Linked DNA regions of Caenorhabditis elegans. The protein of the gene in region 2 purifies or fractionates together with the protein of the main gene of each other region. This does not show direct contact. Each region holds a gene or a part of one and is shown on either strand. Other genes may lie near its edges.

Region 1 (5,008 bases), on a different chromosome or scaffold from region 2:
ATTTTAATTTTAACCTTTATTACGAAAAAAATACTAACCTTTATCATCAAGATTCACTGCGCCATAGTTATTGAAAGTACCTAAAAGTGGGGCTTTCTCGCTTCCAGTTCTGGCTCGTTCTCGTTTGTCATCGAGCTTCACTTGTTTTTCACGAGCTTCTGAAAAAATCTTTGCAATCCGTAGTTTTCAGAAAAATCCGTGTTAACTATCTAGTTTTATCGATTTTTTGAATAGAAGCAACACAATTTTTGATATTTATTTTTTTATTTGTTTTTAAATTTCAGTCTTCTAAATGTCAAGAAATTATCGTTTTTCCTCTATTAATATAGCACTCTCTAATAATCTTGCACCGACGTTTTGCCGGACCAGAAAAACATTGTCAGAAAAATTTTCATTTTTTGGATAAAATAGACCTAAAAGCGTTCAAATAGCCAATGAAATATGGGAAAAGTGTGTACATTTAATAATCGGAAGTTTTCGGCAATTTTGGCAATGTCCGAAAATGAAAATTTTCGGCAATCGGCAAAGTTGGCAATTTCGGAAATTTCAACAATTTCATTTTGTTTTTAGTATTCGTTAAGTCATTTTCTAACAGAAAACATTCAATCTTTCAAGGATTGCATAATTTTGAGCTTGATAAAAAAATTGTTCAGTAAAATGCATGATTAAGCTCTTAACTCTACAAAAAGTATAAAAATTATATTTAGGGCCATTTTGATTTCCGGCAATCAACAATTTTGGCAATTGCCGGTTTTGGCAAATATTCGTAAACCGGCTATTCCGGCCACTGCCAAAATTGCCAAGTTTGCCGAAAATTTGATTGCCGAACCGCGCACCCCTGGCTAGTAGGCTCTTCCGTAGTTTTTTTGACACTAGATTTATTTTTCTTAACAATGCAACGTTTCACATTAAAAATCAACATTTTTAATTTTTTCAAATAATTTTTCAAACAAAGTGACAATTTTCTGACCTCTTTTTTAAATATTTCTAAAAATAAATTTTTGAAAATCAAACTACCATACTTTCTGTTTGTTTCAGCCACTCTGTCTTCCATCGAGCTTTCAGGTACTCCTGATCCATTTGACTATCCATTTCAAAAACATCATCCGCCACAAGCGTTCTTTCATATCCTAGAGAAATGATTTGTGTGAACCAAAGCAATAGCTGCCTGCTGATGAAATTTGCATTTTCTTCCGGGCATTTCAAGTTCTAAAATATAATTTTCCCTAAAACGTTTCTCCTATCATATCTCTCTAGTCACACCTGATAACCCCTTGGCATCGGGAACGGATCAGACACAAAATGTAGTACAAATTCGGCGACTACCAAGGGAAAGTACGTCAAGTACGCTACATAGCGGAAGAAGTCGATTCGGGCAACAAGCTGCAATTGGAAATTCGATGCTTCAATATAAACAATTCGGTGAATACACACGTACCTCTGGCTGGCTGCCTGTTGTCATCCATTGATAGAACTCGGGCACTGCAGCCACTGCGAAAAGCATCCAAATGCAGAAAAGTGGTCCAGAGGAGTGGATTCCAGCCCGACGAACCTCATTTGTGGCGATTAGGAGGGCAAGCTGGAAAAATAATTTGCATTTTTTATAAGGATTAAATTCAACATCGGAATCTTGCAATGTTCTTGTTAGGGTTCCCATGCGGTCGCCGCAACGGCGCCTCCGCCGGCCTCAGCGGTCGCCGCGCCGGCCTCACCGAGTCACCCCTCGTGTATAGTGAGGCGCGGACCTCCGAACGTGTGCGCACACCAAGCTACTCATTTCACGTTGAGCTGCGGAACTCCGAACGTGTCGGCCGCTTCAAATAACGACCTCTCGCACTTCTATCATACACACAACGGCGCGCGGCATTTCGCGCCTCACTTAGCTGGGAGCCCAAGTTCTTGTTCATGTAGAAAACAAATTGAATAGATGCAAGGCCGATGTCGTCCGCAACAGAAATTTAGTCAGACATTGTAGTTTTTTTTGAAATTTTTTTAAACTTTCATTTGCAACCAATTCACGACACTTTTTCTTCTGTTGACTAACGGTTTGGACGATATTCAACTTATATACCCAAATTGGGCTCATATTAACAAAGTTCGTAATGAAACTGCTCGAAAATTTTTCAAAATTTTGAATAAATTGCACTGATTTTAGCTAAAATCTCGAATTCTGCCTACTTTTCTGTGTCGCATCTGTTTGAAGTTGACTTTTTTGGAGTTATCATTCTTTATTGCATATTTTGGTAGTTTATCTCAATTAATTTCTTCTATTAAAGAATATTTAAAGCCGATAGGTAACCACAGGCTTTAAATGTACCTTAATCGGCAAAATTGAAAGAGATAAACTACCAAAATATGCAATAAAAGATGTTAATTCCAAAAAAAAAATGAACTTCGGGCAGATGGGACAGAGAAGTAGGCAGAATTTGATATTTTAACTAAAATTAGTGTAATTGTTTACGTTCAAAACTGTCCAAACCGTTAGTTTTCCTTTAAACCATGTTCCAAAAATTCCAATTAGTTCTAAGTTTACTTCACATCAAAACACAAACTTAATACATATCACTCAAATTTTATCTTTATCGAAAACGAATTTGAAACACTTTTTTCCACAGAATCTCATTTGAGAACAATTTAATCTTGCCATCTGGCACTTACCAATGTGAAACTATGAAAGAACGGTATGATGAACAAATCCGCCGTCACATTTTTGTGTTCAAAAAGAGATTCCCATACAGCGAGAAGAAATACAAACAATCGGTCAATGATCAGCAAACTGGCGACAAACTACAAATTTTTATAGAGTGGTTTATCTGATTTTGCACAGAGTTCTGCTTACCCATTTCAAGCTCATCAGTGTTGACCATGGAAGAGGTGTCTGGCGACTAGTTTTGCAGTCGTGAATGATAACAGGTGTTAGGATCCAGAAGAAAATGGATGGGACGATTACATAGTTGCTAGGGAGAATTATACTTATAGGTGGACCTGTGGAGTTGAGAAGCTGGTCTATTTCCATCTGAAAATTTGAAAGTTTTAGTGGAGTTAGAAGCTGAATATTTCCAAAAAAAAAAAAGACAGAAAATTAAAAAAAATAAATTTCGTAAAAATGACTGTTCGGAAGGCTTAAACAATTTTAAATTGTTTTTTTTTAAGTTTAAAATTCTCAAGGAAAGCGTCTGGGTCTTGCCGCGCTAACTGCAATTTTTATGATTTTTTTTCTAGGTTTTTCTAAATTACAAAACCTGATAACTTGAACAATTTAAAACCTAAAACGTTCAGCTTGAGAGGGAGCAAAAATTCAGTGCAAAATTATACAGGCTAACGAAATATATACCTTTTTAATTTCTTAAGTTTTTATAATAATAAATTGCGAAATATATGCACTTTTCCGACAATATTTTGTTACTTGATATAACTTGTCTGAATTTGTAAAATTTCACTTTAAAAATACCGAGTTTTTTTCAGAATAAAAAAGTTATTCGTACTTTTTCAAAAAAGTCACAAAACTTTGGAATACACACAAACTGAACTTGATATCACAAAAACTAATTCTCTTTTCGAAAATCAAATCATTAGCACAACAAAACGGGCAAATAAATTGTACACAAGCAGGAGAAGCGAGAGCAATTGTTGTGATACTAATGGTATCACGTTACCACCAAAATGCGTGCAGTCTCCTGGTCTCCTGTGTCGATCAAAAACGGTGATGAGATAAGACAGACTGAGGACCCCTAGGTGACAGCGCATTTGTGTGTTTTGAATGTGATTTGTGTGCAAGTTTGTAGGTAGCTGGTGACTATAATGTCGCTGATCTTGCCAAGATAGGAAGTGTATGGGGTGGAGCACATGTGTGTTCATGGATAATGACGTGTTTTTGTCGATGTTGGTGTCGATGTGTGTTGAAAGGGGAGACGAGCACAAAATTGGCGGAGTAGGAACAAAAGTGCACAATTGACACAAATCAAATGCTCTTTTTGAAGGTGGTCGAATTTTTATTGCTTTATTAGACTTAAAATTGTCTGAAAAACTCAAATTTCATAATGAAACTTCTTGAAAACTTTTCAAAACAAAAGTTATGACGGCTCAAAGAATTGCCTATTTAGTTAAAATTTGCAACTTGACCGAATTGTCCATGTCGCAGCGGCTGGAAACAATTTTATTTGAAATCTCCGGACAATTTTGAGTATACATACAATGTGTTTTTAAAAGTGATTTTAAAAAAAATTGATCTCAGCCGCTGTGACAAGTCGGTCAAATTTCAAATGTTAACTAATTTTAGGCCATTTTTTTACCCGTCATAACTTTTTTTTTGAAAAGTTTTCAAGAAGTTTCATTATAAAATTCGGTGTTTTCAAACAATTTTGATTCTAATAAATCAATCTAAAAAAATTGACTACGCCACCTTTAATGCAAGACAACTCAAATTTGTTTGAAGATAATGTATAAAATTTCATTTTTAGCCAAACCAAGCAATTTAATAATTTGAGAATATCGAATTTGGATAAAAATAAATGGTCGAAACCATGAAAAAAATCCTCCCAAATTTTGTCTTGCACAAAAATTTACAACACTTTTTGATGTTTTATTTTTTGGAAATTGATTAGATATATTCAAAAACAAATTAACAAAAAATATTAGAAATTAAAAAACAAAACCAAAATATGAGCAAAAAGTGTTGTCAAATTACGAATTCTAATTTTCCAGAGGTTTCCAACAGAAATTTATTTTTTTTTCTAGAAATTCACAAAAATGTTGTACTAGTACTATTGGTTTTCTGGTCAGTTTGTTGTTGACTTTATAACTTATAAATGCGGGTGAAACACCAGTTCACTGGGTTCAAAGAACAATTTAAGGAATACATGTGTGTAGTTTCATTTAAACAACCGTTTGTAAATTTTTTTGACAATTCAAAATATAAAAAATTTTAAAAACTACAGCTATTTAAAAAAATTTTCCAATGTACTTTTTATTTTGTAATCCTAATGTTTGAAATAACAAATAATATAAT
Region 2 (6,762 bases):
TCTTGCCACGCAGGAAATGAGATACTGTAACTTGTGCCGATTTACGGGGTGCAATTTTTTATTATTTTTTAAAGATTTATTTTTCATTCAAGATTATGCACAGCGGCTCATAAATTGATACAGTAACTCGTCGTCATTCTTCTCATCTTGTGACGTCTACATGGTACATGTGTTGGGAAAAATATTGGCACGAAAACAGGTCAAGTAACTCCTTTCAGTATAATATATCAAATTAGCACATGGTGAGCCAAATACCCGCTAATAATAGCGTCGTAACCAATTAAAAATGCTCAAATGGCTCAAAAACATCTCAGGATATTGCATCATCTTACGTCAGCATTGAGATCCTCCAAAAGTACCATATAATAGGTTGTGCAAAAATAATGACAAGGAAATCCTAGACGATAGTTAATTATTTTGGCGAAGCTTTCTGACAACTATTCCATGAATATGAAAACTTATTGAAATTAGATGATAATTTTTTAGGATAAAAAAGTTGCAAAACATATAATTAAAAACAAACTTTACCGAACATCAGTTGAAAAATAAGGCCATAAATTAGAGATCATTAAAGAATCATATTGAGATTAAGGGGGACGAAACTGATAATAGGAAAGAAAAACGCGAAAAAATTAGGATAAAAACCTATCAAAATGTGACAGACTTTCATGATTGGGGGGAATTGTACAAAAACTTTATAGAACAGTTTCGTCGCGAGGAAGCAGCTTGAATGGATCTCCGTCGAACCACTGAAAAAATTAAATTTACTGAAATATTGGGAACACTTTTAAAAAAAAGTGAAATTCATTTGTTTTTAATGAAATTCTTCTTTACAACCTTTTCTTTCTGAAATTTCAAAATTGTACAAAATATAAATAAATGTGAATATTTTTAGAATTGAATAAATTCATAGCTTATTTTTTTCAAAGTCTAACTTCTGTAGATCTCTCACCTGAAGCAATTTAGAAGCTGGCATGTTCGCTACCAAAGGAGTCAAATTTTCAACACTTAACATCCGTCTTGAAGCCAATTGTTCACTGACCACCATTTTCATTAGTTCCGATTTAGGGTCATATCCGGCTGCTAATAAGATTTTTTCGTAGAGTGAATGACTGAATAATATAACAACATGATCATGTGATTTCTTGCTCCAATCAACAGTTGGTCGAACTCCTTTTTCATCAACATCAGTAACAAGTGATAAAAGAAGAAGACCAAGACCATGTAAACGAAAGAAATCTTCTGCTTTTGAATCATCAAGAACCTCGTGACTCAGAAGTTTACATTCATTCAATTTATTTGTAATATAAGCGAAGAATGCTGATAGAAGCTTCACATTATTCTTGAGCATTTGGGAGCAAGACGAAATTTTCGGAGCAGTTAAGCTGAAAAAGATTTATGTGGAGGAGATATAATTTTTTCGTTTTTTTTGTGCTTTTTGCGAAATAGCGTTTCAAGCTTACAACATTTCTCGTTTTTGTCGTGTTTCGGGCGAAAAATAATTTTTCGTCTTCCAAAAATATAGAGGGCCGTAATAACCGAATAAAATAAAAATTAAACTTATTTTCTAATTTTCTAAAACGATTTTTTACAATTTTGCAACAAAAAACAATTGAAATGTCTAAATTGGAGTCGTTTCCGGAAAATTTATGTCTGCAAATTTGACAAACGATATTTCAAATCAAGCATCAAAGAAAACCAAGAAAAATTAATGAATTTTGCCGGAAACCGCTGAAAATCCTAAAATTCGCTTGAGCGGGAATTTAAAATTAATTTTGAAATTTTTTTTCAAAATATAAAAAAAAATTAGTCCTAGAAAATTTTCAAGTTTTCCAGTAAAGTCCTCACTAACCCAACTCTGCCTTTAACATTTTTTTGTAGATTTTTCTGAAAAATGCTTACTTTTCTGAAACTTCGTAATAATCGGCCATTTTCAGTTGATTGAGATAAGTTATTGCCAGATTCAAATTGAGAAGAGCCATTGTATTATGAGCGGTAATATCTTCTTTGTGGAGTTTCTGTAAAGCGGGTATATCGATGAAAAATTAATTTTAATTTAATGGGGAAATTTGATTTCCTTTTTTTTTTGATTTTTCCTTAAATTTATAAATACTTTTTACTATTACTTTTTACTTTATAAATACTATTTATAAATACTAGCGATGTTCAGATTTTTTGATAGAAAATTTACAAATGTTACGGAAATATTGCGAATTTTAATTTTAATTGGGAGTGGATCGAAAAAATTGGAGAGAGAAAAAACTTTTTTTATAGAAAATTTTATAGAAAAACAGCAAGAAATTCAGCTTCAGGAATTTTTAATTTAAAAACCTACGGAGAACTGAAGGAAAACCAAATTTTTCTTTTTTCGCTTCGAAAATTGTTTTCAAATGTTTCAAATGAAAATCCGTTTTTTTTAATTGAAAATCCGAAGTTTACGTATATCTCTTTTGTTTTCAAAAAATTTTCTGATACTTTTTTTTAGTTTTGCTAAATTGAAAAAAAAACCTTCATTGCCGCACGGAAGTGGTTTTCAGCATTTTCATGTTGTCGGAAGTAGCAGCATTGGAGACCCTGAAGATTATAAGTTTTTTGGATAGCAATTATTTTCGCAAATTCTACAATTTGATAATTGACGGCTTTCAGGTCATTTTTGAGAACTTTCTCGAATTTTTCTGCTTGAATAGTTGCCATTTTTAGATTTTCAGATGAATCAATTGATTTTTCTAATGAAATGTATGGCGCAATAGGTAATTTTATAGCATTTCAGAAAATAACTGCTTCCCCCAGCTCAGCTTGGAATCTATAAATAGTTACCAAAATATAATGAATATGTGGTGTAAAATATCGCGTAAGCAGTGGTCCACTTGTTCGATTTGACCATTCCAACATATCTCGAACATTATGCAATGTTTTTTGTGGTCTACATGCTAATACATTACAGCATGCCATCATTTCCAATGTTGTCATTTTAATCATATTAATGCATCGAACAACTCCAGGTTCTTGTGGTGATCGAGTTGATTTGAATATAATCTCATCGGCGTGTTTGATTACGAGATGATAATATTTCTCAACACGATCCGTATTTGATTGAACGAGAGCACAGATTTGATTCATTACACATGCCAGTAAAGTTATCGAAGGTTCGCCGAGCCATCTGGAAATGAAATGGAATTTTAAATTTTGTTCTGGAGAAAATGAGAGCTTTTAGAATTTTTCACATTTTACGCCAAAAATGTGAAAACTGAGAATTTAATACAAAATCTAGATTCCATTATATTCAGGAGTTTAACTTCTTTCTTGAATCTTTCTTGAATATAAAATGAATTCAAATGTGAGAATTTCATGCTGAAAATTTATTAAAATTTTCGTGACAGTTCAAAATTTCGAAAAAAAATCTGCTTAAATCTGAAAATTTGCCACAGTAGACGAAAATAAAGTTATTTTTCTCGAATATCACCTTATTTTGCATATTAGAGTCGTTTTTCCGTGTTTTTCATTGATTCAAACACAATTTTTAGGGTTTTTGACCATAATATTTTTATCGTTTTTCAAAATAACGTTTCAAGTTTACAAAATTCTTTGAGATTTTCGTTCCGAAAAAAGCAAAAAAAAGCAAGTTAAAAAGTTTTTTTTCGTTTATACAAAAATTGTGCTTCAAAGAAAAATTCGAATTGTTTTTTAAATTTTTTAAAAGCATTTTTTTAATTATTTTATTCGGTACAAAGTTCATATACCTGATGCCATGGATCTTAGTCTCTCCACTTGTTTGTGATTTTTGAATTTGTCGTAAAAGTTGCCGGGAAGTTCGAGATTTTCCTTCGTAGAACATGTACGCGAGTTTAGTACATACATAGAAATCCTTGATACATTCCAAATGTGCTTTATCAGATGTTGTACTGTTCTCCATTACTTTAATCATTGAACCAATCCTCGTTACATCGGAAATGTCAGGTTCTTCGTGCATTAATTGATAAGTTACAAGAGTCTTCGCAATACGGAAATATAATTCCATTTTTGGATCAGCATGGGAACTATTGATTGCAAGTTGACACATTTCGATGGCTCCTTCGACGTCTTTATCGATTTTCATTAATTCCTGAATAATAATCATTAGACACTAATTTTGAATCATTAATTCTTTTTGATTTTTGAAAGGCGCTCAAAATCTGTTAAATTATTTTCGCTTTTGAATAGTTTCTAGTTTTTGCAGGAAATTCGAGAAACTTCACTAACAATTAATTGAAACATCAATTTGTTGGATAAAGCTGGAAATCCACGTGTCGTCGTAATTTCGTGACGAATCGTTGCCTTGATAGAGGTTAATGGCCATTGTTGGTCTGAAAATAATATATTTGAATAACAATATACACAAACTTTTGAATATTACAATGAATATGAAGATCGGCAAGCATTGAAATGGCGTTCATCTTGTCTCTCGTGTAAAATGTGCCCATCGCCGACATTTTATCGTACTAAAATATGAAACATAACTTAATTCGAAAAAGTGTTTTTTTTTCTTACAGCGCATTGAAGATGATTTTTAGCCAACTCGAAATTATCAGTGTAGAAAAATAATAATTTTCCTAGCTGAAGATTGCAAATCGCTTTCATTTCATCCGAAATTTCCATGCTTAGCGTACTCCTTGCACATTTAATTGCCATTTTTAACTTCGGAGGATCTTGCGTTCGCAGTGCCTCCGCCATTCCCAACAAGGCTTTCGCAACTGCATCTTGGTTCATTTCCTTCTGAAAAAAACATTAAATTTAAGCTGAATTTTGGAAAAACTAAGAGAAAATTCCAAGAAACGCAAAATTTTTATTATAATTTAAATAAATTTATAAAAAATAAAATTCAAGTTTTCCGGGAGGCTCTGCGGTGAGTGGAGAAAACATTTTTGGAAGAAACAAACACGCCGGATATTTCCAGTTTAATTTAATAATACCTGTTTTAATTCAATGATAAACAAGCTATTACATAAATTTTAATTAATAAAACAAGTTTTAAAACACATAAAGAGTAATAGGAAGCAAACATTTCCAGGGCGCTCATATTCCCCGAATGCATTTTCTCTCGGATGCTATGTGAGGCATTTGCAAATGCGCTCTATCGAACATTTGAACAATTCAAGTGAATTTAGACCATTTTTGTATCACTAAATCCTGAAATCAAGCAAAAGTGTATCACCTTGACGAATTAAAGGCATTCTGAAATATTTCTGAAAATATAACATTTCTCCGATGCATTTGAAAACATCTTTGGCAGAACGATTCAAAAAATAGCCGGAAAAATCACGGGCACATGCATTTATATTAATTATCAATAGGATAAATAGCAACTTACGGAGCTATGTACGCTTCAACACTCCTATATTTGAAGATTAATTTGAAAAAATGAACGCATGGACTCAAAAAGTGTATAACTAATTCAAACTATGTCATGTTCCCGAGTAGAATAAAAATAATTTTCTTAGACAATAAACTCGATTGCTGATAAATTCTGACGAGATGGTGTCAATTTGGAAATTGTACATATTGACAGGTATACACGTGGAAACCGAGATAGGTTTCACTCAAATATTTATTTCAGAAAGTATACTAGGTTTGATGCAATTTTTGTAGATTGGTAAACTTTTCGAACTTTTAAATAATTTCCATCTTTTTCAAATCTTGTTTCTGTGAAATGTTGACCTAGATGTATTCGAACATACATTTAGGTTAAAACAGATTCCAAAAGTTGTCATCAACGTAGCAATCCTTCGAACGTTCAAATCCCCACGCTTTTTGCATAAAGTATCAATAAAGGCAACGAGGCGCAGACATGTATGCATATTCCTTTTTCTCCTTCTTCACCATCGTTCCCTAACATATAAATGATCGATAGAAGCATATAGAAGTGACGAGACCCAGAGAAAACATCAGCCAGTTGACAGAGGCCGTTCTACTGGCGTGCGTATAGGCGATGAATCGCGACACTCTCCTCTATGTTCTCTTTATATCTGCGTCTCTCAATCACTCTATCTAAACTGAATAGAAGAAGAAGACGTCGAAGCTGCTCCGCGAGAGCTCCGTGAGCTTTTGCGTCTGTGTGTGTTCTTCTCTTCCTCTCAGCTTTTTCTCGTTTATTTTCATTTCAATTTCTAATACGATGAGCCCTCTTTGGACATTGAGCTCATTCCATTTAAAATTGAAAAAGCCTCCCTTTTCCTATCAAATTATATTTTATTTTATTGCCCGTTTCGGGTTTGAAGGATTTCGAAACTTTAAAAAAAACTGTTTTTTTTGAGAAATTAATTTAAATTTTAAAATTCGAGGATTATATGTTATAGGCATTACCGAGAGTTTTTAATACATTTATTTAGTATGTAGATTAATTAATTTTTGAAGGTATTCCAATTTCTTCACTCTAACTAACGGGAAGTTACACAATTATAATTTTTATTTTTTGATAATAAATATTAAAATTAATTAAAGTCAAAACTAGAATCTTTAATTCTTCAAACTTCTCAAATTATGAATTTTCGTTTTTATAAGAAGGAAAATTGTTTTCTGTTAAAAATAAGCTCTGGCCAAAATCTGAAAATGGCATTCCATTAATTTTTTGGTTCTTCTGGATCGGAAGAATTTGAAGAGAGAGAGATAAAACTGGGAAATGGGAGACGTATAAGGTCAAGATGATAAGAATAATGAGAGGAGAGATAGATAAAATGAGAGGTTTTCTTGTTATTATTATTATGTTTCTTGTTGGTCTAGTTTTTT
Region 3 (4,893 bases), 1.6 Mb from region 2:
CACACATGTTACCGTGTTCCACTCACTTTGAGCCATCCAGGATTCAAATTTGTCGATGTGAGTTTTTGTCAAACGTTTGAAATTTTTATTTAAAAAAAAACAGAAACCCATATGTTAAATGAAAATATTAATTTACAAACGGGTGTAAATAGCTATTCACTTCACACGTTTACAGCCAGCCGACCGTCATCCGGCCCTTTGTGATGTTGCTCCAACAGTTCTCGCTATTATGGGACTCCCTCAACCAGCTGAAATGACTGGGGTCTCGATTGTTCAGAAGATCTAGATTCAAGTACAATGATTTCAATATTCAAGTTCTATGAACTATATTTTCTACAGTATTCTTTTGTCCAATTTCTTCCCAATTACCTACTATTCAATTCTGTTTATAGTCTGAAAATTTTTATGTATTTAGATCCTTAAATTAGTATGAATAAAATTATATTGCACTGAGAAAATATTTCATTCATTACTATGACCTGTCGGATGACTCATATTCTATTTGCTATTTATGTTTTTTTTCTTGCTCCGGAATGAGCTCTGTAGTCAGTTGCTCAACATTTTTGAAGGGTCAATTGATGGTGACATTTGGCCAATAGACACACTGAGCACATCTGCGGAGCACTCTGACGGCTCGCAAAAGATTGATTTGATCGGACTTTTACTGGGACGAACTGAGAAAAACCATTGGTTTTCTCTGCGTCTCTTAATTTCTCAAACTCTCTTGATTTAGTATCTTATCGTTTCTTCTAATGCTCTCTCTGTGTGACATTTTTCATTATAGTTTCTCGAAAATTCTTTGGAGAAAATGTTGCTAGCATTTTGATGTCACTTTCGTTTGAAAACTCCAGAAACCTCGCCTTTTCCTTATCGTTTTTTAGCATCACTCAGTTAAAATGACCTATTTGTGCCACGAACCCAGTTTTATTGAGAAAAATCGAAATTACTAGGTGAAATTCTATTTTTCGTTGACTTTGAATACGTGTTTGATCGAATTTTGATGAAGCAAAAAACATGAAAATTACATGACCTTGCCCTAGATACGTGGCTACATGGCCTGACCTTTTAATTAACAGAAAATTTTAGGATTTTTTTAGGATTTAATCAGCAGATCATAGATTTTAAAGAATTACATCGTTTTTTAAATCTTCAGAATATTTTTCTGGTTTTTAAGTAAATGTACATTTTATAAACTTTACAAAGTGTAAATAAGAAAAATTATTTTGTTGAGAAAAAAATCGAGCATACAAAAATTGAGACCCGAAGAACTCGGGGGATGTCCTATTGGGGGGATTACCAACTCGGGGGATTGGCCCCGCCCACAGAACCGTGGCTTGCAATACGCCCATTTCTGCAACTGCCGCACGGTTTTAAAACTGTATTTTTCTCAATAGAGCGAGAATTAACAAGAAAAAATAATTTTAAAACCGTGCGGCAGTTGCAAAAATGGGCGTATTGCAAGCCACGGTTCTGTGGGCGGGGCCAATCCCCCGAGTTGGTAATCCCCCAATAGGACATCCCCCGAGTTCTTCGGGTCTCCAAAAATTCAGAAAACTATATGGAAAAGGAAAAAAGGCAATTGGACATAATAATTTTTATATCCTTCACAATTTTCTGAAACTCAGAGATTTATTCAAATGATTTTTTGTTGGTGTTTTCAGTGTCCACTTTGAAAAAAATTCCGCAAAAGTTTCCGCAAATTGTTTTTCTCGTGGCGAGACCCATCCGAAAAAATCCGTGCGCCTTTAGAAACGCATTACGGTACTTGTCGAGGCTTCTTTTTCAAATATTTACGTTGAATTTGTGTTTTCTTCGTTATTTTCAGATTAATATAATATTAATCCATTCAAATCTTTCAGAAACTTCCCCAAGCGGTCTTCTCATCTCAAAATTTGCCACGTGGCCACGCTCTCTTCTCCATAAATCTGAAGAAGGTGGGTTTTCAGTTAATGTTTATCTTTTAAAATTATTTAAATTTCCAACAAAAAAAAAACAAACGAAGTGACGTTGTTAATTCAAATGCTCGCGTCATTCCTCCACTAAAGAGTCCAGTATTCAGGACTTTCTCTCTTTTTTCCTCTTCTTCTTCAATTCTAGCTCTGTTTATGGAATAGCCGTTTTTAGCTGCTCTCCCCGTTTCGCTTTCTTTCCATCTTTTCGTTTCCTCAATCCAAATTATATTTTCACTTCCCTTTTCAGCTTCTTTTTCACTGTTTCTTTGCTGCTCGCTTCTGCATTCATTTCCGCCCACATTCAGTGAAAGAAAGCTCTTGACATTTATTTTAGTCAACGGATAGCAGCCAGTTTTGGGCTGAAAATGGATAATTTACACTAAATACTCGATAGCAAAAATTCAAAAAAAATTATGGAATTTCTGTCTTAAAAGGGATTCGTGAATTCTAGAACTATTTCGTATCGATCATAAATTTTATAAATCCCCTAAACTTTCGAATATCTGTACATAAATGTAATCCTTTCCGATTTTGTAAAACCGGTTTCCTGTGGTGAACGACTTGTTATTCTACAAGTTTTCTTAACTTATTCTCGAACCTTCTCCTTTCTTCTTCTTCTTCTCATTTTCCTTTCCGTCATCTTTCCCGCATTGAATAACAAGATCTACATACCGTTAGTGATTCCCTTTTTGTGTAGAAATACAAACGATTTACACGAACAAGGAAGTTTGTACCGAGAGAGAGAGAGGAACTTGGAATGGAAGAGAAACATTATTTCTCTCTTTTCACTTCCTAATAAGAGAATGAATATAATGACCAGAAAGCAGTAGAGAAGAAGCCAGAAGTGTGTGGACAAGCGGACGCGACGAGATTATAATTGATACGGTTTTCGAAGATGAAGTGACAGCGAAAAGAGGATGAAGCCCGGTTTCGGTGCGATAATGATGAGGAAAAAGTGAACGGATTTTGAAGATTTAGGAACTTTTATTTGAGAATATCACTTAAAAATGTTGAAAGATTTTGGAAATTCAGATTTTCTCGTTCCGGGGCCATAACTCGAAAAATTATGAAATATTGTGCGTTCTTTGTTGAAAAATTAATTTAGCCTTTCAATAGCTCAATTATGAAACATACATATATCTTCAATTTTAAAAACTATCCTCTATTTTCATTGAAATCCGATAGGAATGTCAGTAAATAAAATATCAGTTGAATAAAGCACGTGCTCATTAGACCGAAATGGCTCATCTCATTTTCCATCTCCATAGATAATCAAAACATTGTATTTGTTTGGTTTGAAGATTAATTCTTATTTATAAATATGATTTGAAAATAGGAGAAAATTTTATGTTTTTGAAGTGTGCTCACAACCGGAAAATCAAAAAAATTGTAATGACAACTAGGGTACGGTATCTATGAGTAATTTCCACGATTACCTCTTTGAAAGTATATGAAGCCAGTTAGTATTGTTGTTTTTCGAAAAAAATTTGCTGTTTCCCAGATTCCGTATAGTTTTTTTTCTTGTCACTCGTTTACATAATTACATCCACTCCTTTGGCTTCTTCTGCTTCAAGTTTCCATTCGTTTTTTGACATGTCTCAGTTTGAAGTATGAATTCTTTTTTCAATTGTTATTTATCCCGTTCTTCGTGTTGGCATTTCTTTTCTGAACATAACTGGAACTAGAGCGTGGATAGACTCACAATCTATTTAGATGATGTCCATAAAACACTTGGGATCTTTAACTTACACAAAATATATGTGCGTCAAAATATGAAAAAATAATAATATTTCCGGCTGATTCTCCGTTTTCCAATATTCCCGTCAATGGCCTGCGTTCTGTTCTGATTTTTTTCATGGCCAACAATAAAATATTTATTTTTCACTTTCCTCTCCATCTTTCTTTGCAATATAGTTATTCCTGTGGTTCTTTTCACTTTTTTCATAGAAAGTTCTGCGATGAAATTGGACGGTTTTGTTAGCTAAATTTCAATATTCTAGATCCACCAAAATACTCTATTTGCATATAATAAGTAGGATGTACGTACCTGTATAAATATCATTGCTCTCTTTCACAAAACCCGACAGTATCCATGAGTCATTTGCGTCTCTGTTATGAATGTATGGTATATGTATGAATTACGCACTATTCCTCTTTTTTCTGTGTTCTCTTGTCCGGCTAGCTGAAGTAGTAATAGTAGTACTTGACCAACAGTGAAAAGTGTGATCGACGAACGAATACCGTCATATTCTGGTTTTGTAGAGGTTTTTGGGAAATAGTGTTGGACGAAAACTTTCAATACATCCAAATTCGCATTGAATTGTCATTACTTCAATCGGTTTTTTCTTTTAATATTTTTGCCTGGAGTACCGTTTTTTAGCGTCAAGGCTATAATCTAGTTTTCATGCTGCTATATATATTTTTAAAACTATTTTGTACGTGGCCTTCGATAATTTCGGCTCATCTTTCACTGGTTCTCATGGCAGTTTATATTATTTGCGCGATCTGTTTGTGGGATTAGCGCACCTAAACGGATAACCCAAAGGTAATGTCGGCATGTCATCCGTCTCAATCAAAAGAAGCAAAAGAGATGGCGCAATAACCTTTCCGAGATTTGATTGGAGAAAAACGAATACAGTTTATCGCATTGCGGACGTCATGTCTCCGGGTAACCTGCTGGGTAATTGGAGGCGGCAAGTGTTCTTGAAATCTCAATTGATCTAGAGGGGATCAAAATGAAATTCTAGAGTAATCAAACAGATATGAGAACCACTTTATTACCATTCTTATTTTTTAGCGTTCTCTTTGCGGCCCACGTTAGATTAGTTGATAGAATATCTCACGAAAAGCCGATTCGAATTGGAACTTTGATTTCCTAGATGTCACCTAAACGACAGCAGTGTTCCTAATTCACACCCACCTTCTCAAAAGTCAAGACATT
Region 4 (6,590 bases), on a different chromosome or scaffold from region 2:
AGATTTTATTTTTGAGGGGTGGATTATTTTACGAAACAAATTTAATAAAAAAGTATTAGGTAAAGAAAACGAGGGGAACATTTTTCAAGCTTTACGGTATAGAAAAAATAAATATTTGAAATGTATATCGATAATTTTCTTAGTTTGACTTTTAAACGAGATCGACTTTTAAACGTTTCAGAACTTTAATATGTTTTTACATAAAATATATAAAATCTCCTAGAAAAGCTGAATTTCGAGATGATACTTTTTTTTAATTAAAAAAAAGGTTTCAAAAATTAAAAAAAAAGCATGAAAAAAATGTCGGTGGTTCGAAACATCTATAGAACGGGGCTATATTTCAACGGATTAATTAAATTAATAAATTCCGCGACGACAAGTTAGACTTTGTTAACTTTTCATTTGAATCTGGAAAATTATTTTTAAACACGCCTCATAAAGAAATTTGATTTTCCAATGCTGTTTAAAGCAATACACATATTGACGCTACTCCATATCTAAAACCCGAATCAAAAATTTGTAGAAAGTTTATTCAACCCGTTTATTATTGAACTCAATAAATATTTTTAGTTATAATTATTTTAATGCATTTTCAAAAAGTATTGCAAAAAATGGTAAGAACTGACTAGAGAAATTGGTCAATAACCGCAAAACAACCATCACAATGATACTAGTTTTGAAGGAAAAAAGAATGAAGAAAATGAAACAGCAAACACTAAATAATGCCATTAGTTGAACATTTTACAGAATTGTCTGGAGAGGGCTGCTCCTGACAATACTGAAAATCTAAGAACAAAAAAGTCTACTTCCATTTTTAAAAATCAATAATTTGAGATCAATTTGTGTGGGTGAAGGATCTTGGAAGGCTTGATATTTGCAAATAATCGAGCTCTTTCGACAGAACGACGACGTTGCTTGATACTACTTGGAGTATTCCCATTCCCATTTCTCATCTCTCCGTTGCTATCTTTTGAGGTTCGACTTTCAGCTGAAGCGGCTCGCTCTGAAATTTTCTTATTGAATTAATTTTTTGGTTGTAAGATACTAGTGCCCAAAAAATGTGGAATGTGGAGTTTTGTTTAGAGAACCGACCAAATTTTTTCCACCGAAAAATTAAAATTAAAATTTTGAAAAAAAAATTCACGAAATTCAAACTTTTCAAAACTTGTCAGTGGGAACTGTGAACTTATTTTCTTTAATTCGCGCAAAATTCAAAATTAATTTTCTTAAGTTATCTATAGATAGAACCATGGCGGTTTTAAATTAAAATAAATTTTACGCACTATCTTTTATCCAGACTTTTGAATAAGCGTTTTTTAAAATTGGTTTTTGGAAAATTTTGTGGCATTTTAATTGTCATAAAAACCAAACGAAAGGTTCCTATTCAAAAAATACCATAAAAATATCAAATTTGTGAGTCTCGAGCAGTTTAATTTTAATTTATGTGATTAAAAGATATTTTTAACTTTAACTTGTTAGCCATATATTTACCATGCTGTCTTACCTCTTAAAGTTCCAGAACTACTATCATGCGAACTACTATTATTCTTATCCATGCTTGTTGTTCTTTGTAAGCTTCTTGCCGTATCGTAATCAGTATCACTGCATTCAGCCTGAGCAATCGGAGCACGACTCTTATCTTCGCCGTACTGAAAATATACAAAAACTAAAATCAGTTAGTGTTATGCTAGATGGTTAATGTGTACTAGTTTCGGCTAAATTTTCAAGATTGGAAAACCATCAGTTAAGCAATTTCTAGATTACCCAAAAACCCCAATGCACATATTATAATAATTACCCACAGGTCGGATCTTTTCATGTTGTATCCTCTTAAAACTGGCCTTCTTTTCATCAATCATCTCATACAATCGATCACGATAATCGTCAATACTCAATTGAATATGATCCGGAAGTGGTGGATAAACTTCATAGTTGAGTACTGGTTCTTCTGATGGATTATGAAATTGTACCACATATGGATGTACCAAGCATTGTTCAACGGTTAATCGTTTTTGAGGAGCAAATATTAACAATCTGAAAATTTGGAATTTAAAATAAATTTATGTGTTATTTTTCAAACAGCGCGATACATTTTACAAGTTTGATAATTTGTGCACATTTCCAAAAAATAGTAAATTGTTGTAGGTTAATTAATACTAATTCAATTACTTAACAAACCTCTGAACCATATCAATCGCAGCTGTTTGTGATTGAGTTATAATCAAATCAAGTGGTTTTCTCGGCCGTTGAGGCATTTTCTCAAGCACACTAGCTGCATAGTGACTTCCAATACTTGCAATATCAGCTCTTGAAGGTTTTGCGATTGTATTCATTATTCGTTCGATTTGATTAATAGTCGAAGATCCCGGAAACAGAGCACGTCCTGAGAATTAAAAAATAATTTGTTAGAAAATTAAAAATATCACTAACCAATCAGCATCTCAGCTAAAATGCATCCCAAACTCCACATATCCACTCCTTTTGTGTATCTTTTGGCTGCCAGGAGAATTTCCGGACTTCTGTACCATCTTGTTGCCACGTATTCTGTTAGATCCGGCATTTTTTGGCCTTCAGGGTAATCTTCAAGCTGAAAAAGCAAGATTGTTGAAACGAGCACGTAACTGGCTTGTAAATGAAACAAACTATTGCTACAGGTAAGTTGTTATTGGACTGGTTAACCCTTACCGACGAAAGACTCCTCGCTAATCCGAAATCTGCAAGTTTTACACGACAATCTGCATCCAGTAGAACATTCGATGGCTTCAAATCCCTGCAAAGACCCACATTGAACACGTGAACAATTTAACAAAAAGTGCAACTATTGAATGGTCGGTATTTAAAAAAAAAGATAAAAGACCAAAAAGAATAGATTCGAGTAAGGACTTCCGTCCGAAATAACGGAAGTACAGACTTCCGGTCCATTTTTATAAATTTTGCAATTCCGCACAAAATACATGATTGTCTATGAAATATGACGAGGTTCAGTTATATGAAATTTAGAAGAATTGAAAAATTCTAAAACCGTGTTTGTAGAAATGACGGCACATGAGGACTAGCAATATTAGCTCTATAGTTAATAAAAAGTATTCCCATTTTTTCATCAATCATCAAGAAAAACGCCACCAAAAACTATGTTTTTTTTGACTAGTTTGATAACTAAACTTATGCAGAAAATATGTGAGCACAGTCCAATAAATGATACGAGGGGCGTGACTGACACCGCTGATTGGTCGCAAGCACGCTAGTCGCGCGGGATTTTCAAACTGTTCGCTTAATTAAATATAGCCGTCTTTCTACATTTCTCCAGACATGCCAGTATACAAAATTAATCATATTCCTCCACCCCCAAACAACCTCTTCTAATCCAATTTTTGACACGCAATTGTCGAAAAAATAAATCTCGAGCGAAGGGGATTAAATCTGTTTACTGATAATAAAAATATGATGATGATCATGACGGAAGTTATCGTGATTCGTTTTTTTATTTCCTATGAAGATTCCATATCTAGACGGAGGAAGTGATTATTTTGCTGTCCATTCAGGAAATGGAAATCAGGAATGTTATAGCTAATGTGATTGATGATCCATTAAAATTTCAATACTTTTACGAATTCAGAAAGAAAAAGGGAAACTCAGGCTTCATGTTATCAAAAATATAGAACGGAACTATTACAATTCCAGACTGCTCGTACTCACCGGTGTAACACATTCCCAGAATGCAAAAATCGAATTGCTCGGAACAACTGGCACATGATATACTGTTTGTGGACATCTTTCAATATCGACCCTTTTTTTATAACATTATGTAGATCAGCTTCCATGAACTCAAATGCTAAGTAGATATCTCTGCAATTACATAATTATTTTTTTTTAATCCGATCAAAGTCTGATCAAGTGTGTAAACATAAGTTATTTGTTTTTGTTAATTTCTTTCTACTTTTAAAAAGTGACAGTTACCTGCGTATGACCCTTGAAGACATAAAATATGAAAACAATATATTTATTTTGTAAGCTAAGAATAAAAATTCTCCAACCTCACCTATCATTATCTGCTCGGAAAATGTTATACAACTTTATAACATTTGGATGTTTTCCAAATTCTTGAAGAAACATCACTTCTCGAAATGTCCTCTGGGAATCTGTCGGATTTCGGAAAGCGTCGAAAATCTGAAAAAAACAGTTATTTATGAAAATTGGTTAAGAAATCTCACCTTTTTCAGAGCCACCGTCTCCCTCGACCTCTTGTCGTATGCTTTCCACACAATTCCATATGCACCTTTTCCGAGACGTTTCTAAAATTATGATTTTTAGTCTCACTTGTGTGGCAAGCCCCCCCCCCCCCTGATATTTAGAGACAGGGGCCTATTTTTTTTTCCAATTTACATAGCTCAATTGGGCTACTTGCAATATTTATTATAAATCTATTTTTAATATTTATTTATATATAATCATACTTATATGTATTCGTGGATAAAACAGACAAAGACAACAATTCCAGAAAAGCTAGAAAAACTTTGAATTTGGGAAGAAATTTGCCAATCAGCAACGACTCACGCTCCGAGTATTTCAAATTGAATTTTGGTGAATATAATTTTTTTTATTAATCTTGAAAATTTATATATCTCAAAAAAAAACATTTCCCAAATGTGAAAATAAATTATACAAAACAACTAACCTGCAAGTCGAATTTCTCATGAATGTGCGTGTCCACATCGTCGGTCATTGTGCAAAACTCCGAATGGTACCCGTGTGGTCAGCTGAAATCTTTGGAAAGTGAAAGAAAATATTATTTGAAAAAAGAAAAAGTAAAAAAGAGAGCATCGATTAAGGTGTGGGAGTAGACGGAAAGAGTGGTGGCGGCGGCTCTAGAATAGTTGAACGAAGAAAAAGAAAAAGAAGAGGAAGAGAAGAAGGAGATGAAGAAATTGTCATGGTAACCGAATGAAAAAGTGCTCGGCAGAAAGTAGAGTTAGGGATTTAGAGAACAGAGAAAAAGTGGAAGAGAGTTTTGTTTTCAATGGGCAACTCGGCAATCACCGTTTGTAGGGGGTTTTTTTTTAAGACAGTGCTTGAGATCACAACTATTTCCTTTCTACTAGCGGTGTTTTTTGAAAAAGGAAAATATGATGGGCAAAGTGTGAATGCGCATTCAGAGAAAGTTTGAATGTGCGGCAACAAAATAAGTATAGTTGAGAAATTTCGAGCTATTTGAAGATTTTGAAATTTTTTAAAAGGAATTTATACATTCAATAAGTTCAAATAAAATTCTAGGTTTTTCAATGCCAACATAATACGTTCGAAAACGACATTCTTATCTACAATAGTTTCAAGTGGTAAAGGCTCACTAGAAGAAATTCAAATTTCAAACTATTATTCCAACCAACCTACATATCTGAATATTCAAAATAAATAATCTCTTCAAAACAAAAAAATCTCCGTCATATTGACGTCAACCTTGCCCTCTTTTTCATCTTCTTCCACCCAAAAATAGGAAAGAACTCTTTGATGTGAATGTAAATGACAACTGACTTTTTGATTCAGCTTCACTACTAAATATAAACGAGAAAAATGAACCGGGCGCGGAATGGAAATAGAGAAGACAGGTAGATATGGAATACTTGTTGAAAAGAGAACATATGGAGGATGAGAGAAACGGAGGATGGACGGGGGAAGATGATGATAGAGAACGCCTAAAATTATAGGTTGAAACCTTTAAGCTGAACGGATGGAAATAAATAAGGCACTGAGAATATGAAGACCATGAAACACAAGTGCTAGGTAGTTGGCATCAAAAATAGACTGTAAAATGTGATAAATTGCGCTTAGAAACTCCACAACAGACCACAACAGGCGTGGCTTCACTGTTCAATAAGGGTAAAACTGTTCCAGTAATGTTTGTGACGTCATGCTTAGTTTCCGCTGACAAATTTGAAAATTTTGAGACTTTTTCAAATTAGATCACTTCCCACTGCAATACTCGGTAAAACGTTGCAACTTTATAGCGCACGCTTGCAGCTTCTTAGCAAACTTCTGCAACTTAATAAAAACAATTATATAAAGTTGCAAGAAACTGTTATGAAGTTGCAGAAATCTGCAGAGGTTGGCAAAACTTGGCGTGAAAAACAAATCGAAGCGCGAAAAACAAATCGAAGCGCTTGCAGGTATTGCAGCTTTCTATCATGTTTCTGCAGACTCTTGCAGCTTCTTAACATTATTTTTCTTTATCTCGATCCCTTGGTCCTTTGCTCTTCGTTCATCATCACTATCCATTGCGCCAAATCTGCCATGCGCGTAATACGATGAAATGAATTGATAAATGTGACAACTACAAAAAATAACACAGGTAAACCGCGTCATGCGAATATTCGTCGGGTGACCAGCTAGCTGCCACCCCCATTATTCGCCATATATTTTAAATTTGCGGTTCATTAATAACAATTGATAGTTCATATAAATTTTTATTTTATAAAAAATAAAATAAAATTTGAAAAAAAAAGAAAAATCGAAAATTAATCGGATGACGACGTGTTGGTCGATGTATGTCCGCTTCTCCGTTGTTCTCTCACACGTTTCGAGGCCACGAGGCGGCA

What was found.
Region 1: the proteins of mau-2 (region 2) and mrp-3 fractionate together in Caenorhabditis elegans (co-fractionation; one large-scale study listed by BioGRID). This does not show direct contact.
Region 3: the proteins of mau-2 (region 2) and let-607 fractionate together in Caenorhabditis elegans (co-fractionation; one large-scale study listed by BioGRID). This does not show direct contact.
Region 4: the proteins of mau-2 (region 2) and mapk-15 fractionate together in Caenorhabditis elegans (co-fractionation; one large-scale study listed by BioGRID). This does not show direct contact.

What each region holds. Positions count from the first base shown.
Region 1 is NC_003284.9:15,936,307-15,941,314, forward strand, and holds the start of mrp-3 (ABC transmembrane type-1 domain-containing protein), read right to left. Parts: upstream 3,019-5,008; 5' UTR 3,017-3,018; coding exon 2,840-3,016; intron 2,788-2,839; coding exon 2,659-2,787; intron 1,580-2,658; coding exon 1,439-1,579; intron 1,384-1,438; coding exon 1,264-1,383; intron 1,210-1,263; coding exon 1,023-1,209; intron 159-1,022; coding exon 39-158; intron 1-38.
Region 2 is NC_003279.8:8,123,791-8,130,552, reverse strand, and holds mau-2 (Maternal uncoordinated protein 2), read right to left. Parts: upstream 4,753-6,762; 5' UTR 4,747-4,752; coding exon 4,528-4,746; intron 4,479-4,527; coding exon 4,394-4,478; intron 4,344-4,393; coding exon 4,240-4,343; intron 4,103-4,239; coding exon 3,741-4,102; intron 3,161-3,740; coding exon 2,818-3,160; intron 2,575-2,817; coding exon 2,509-2,574; intron 2,019-2,508; coding exon 1,903-2,018; intron 1,386-1,902; coding exon 953-1,385; intron 750-952; coding exon 696-749; 3' UTR 512-695; downstream 1-511. UniProt on the Caenorhabditis elegans protein: Plays an important role in the loading of the cohesin complex on to DNA. Forms a heterodimeric complex (also known as cohesin loading complex) with scc-2/SCC2 which mediates the loading of the cohesin complex onto chromatin.
Region 3 is NC_003279.8:6,572,145-6,577,037, forward strand, and holds the start of let-607 (CREB-H transcription factor homolog let-607), read left to right. Parts: upstream 1-1,859; 5' UTR 1,860-1,934; intron 1,935-4,893. Other genes in the region: ipgm-1 (2,3-bisphosphoglycerate-independent phosphoglycerate mutase), read left to right, coding at 1-57, 176-286. UniProt on the Caenorhabditis elegans protein: Probable transcription factor, required during migration of the gonadal distal tip cells (DTC). Probably regulates cell adhesion of DTCs via modulation of expression of genes involved in integrin-mediated adhesion, including tln-1, src-1, and integrin pat-2.
Region 4 is NC_003281.10:6,066,024-6,072,613, reverse strand, and holds mapk-15 (Mitogen-activated protein kinase 15), read right to left. Parts: upstream 4,758-6,590; 5' UTR 4,724-4,757; coding exon 4,676-4,723; intron 4,293-4,675; coding exon 4,212-4,292; intron 4,168-4,211; coding exon 4,040-4,167; exon of another isoform or gene 4,035-4,039; intron 3,847-4,034; coding exon 3,697-3,846; intron 2,771-3,696; coding exon 2,686-2,770; intron 2,588-2,685; coding exon 2,431-2,587; intron 2,384-2,430; coding exon 2,179-2,383; intron 2,035-2,178; coding exon 1,803-2,034; exon of another isoform or gene 1,799-1,802; intron 1,650-1,798; coding exon 1,505-1,649; intron 1,004-1,504; coding exon 822-1,003; 3' UTR 528-821; downstream 1-527. UniProt on the Caenorhabditis elegans protein: Atypical MAPK protein. Regulates primary cilium formation in sensory neurons and the localization of ciliary proteins involved in cilium structure, transport, and signaling.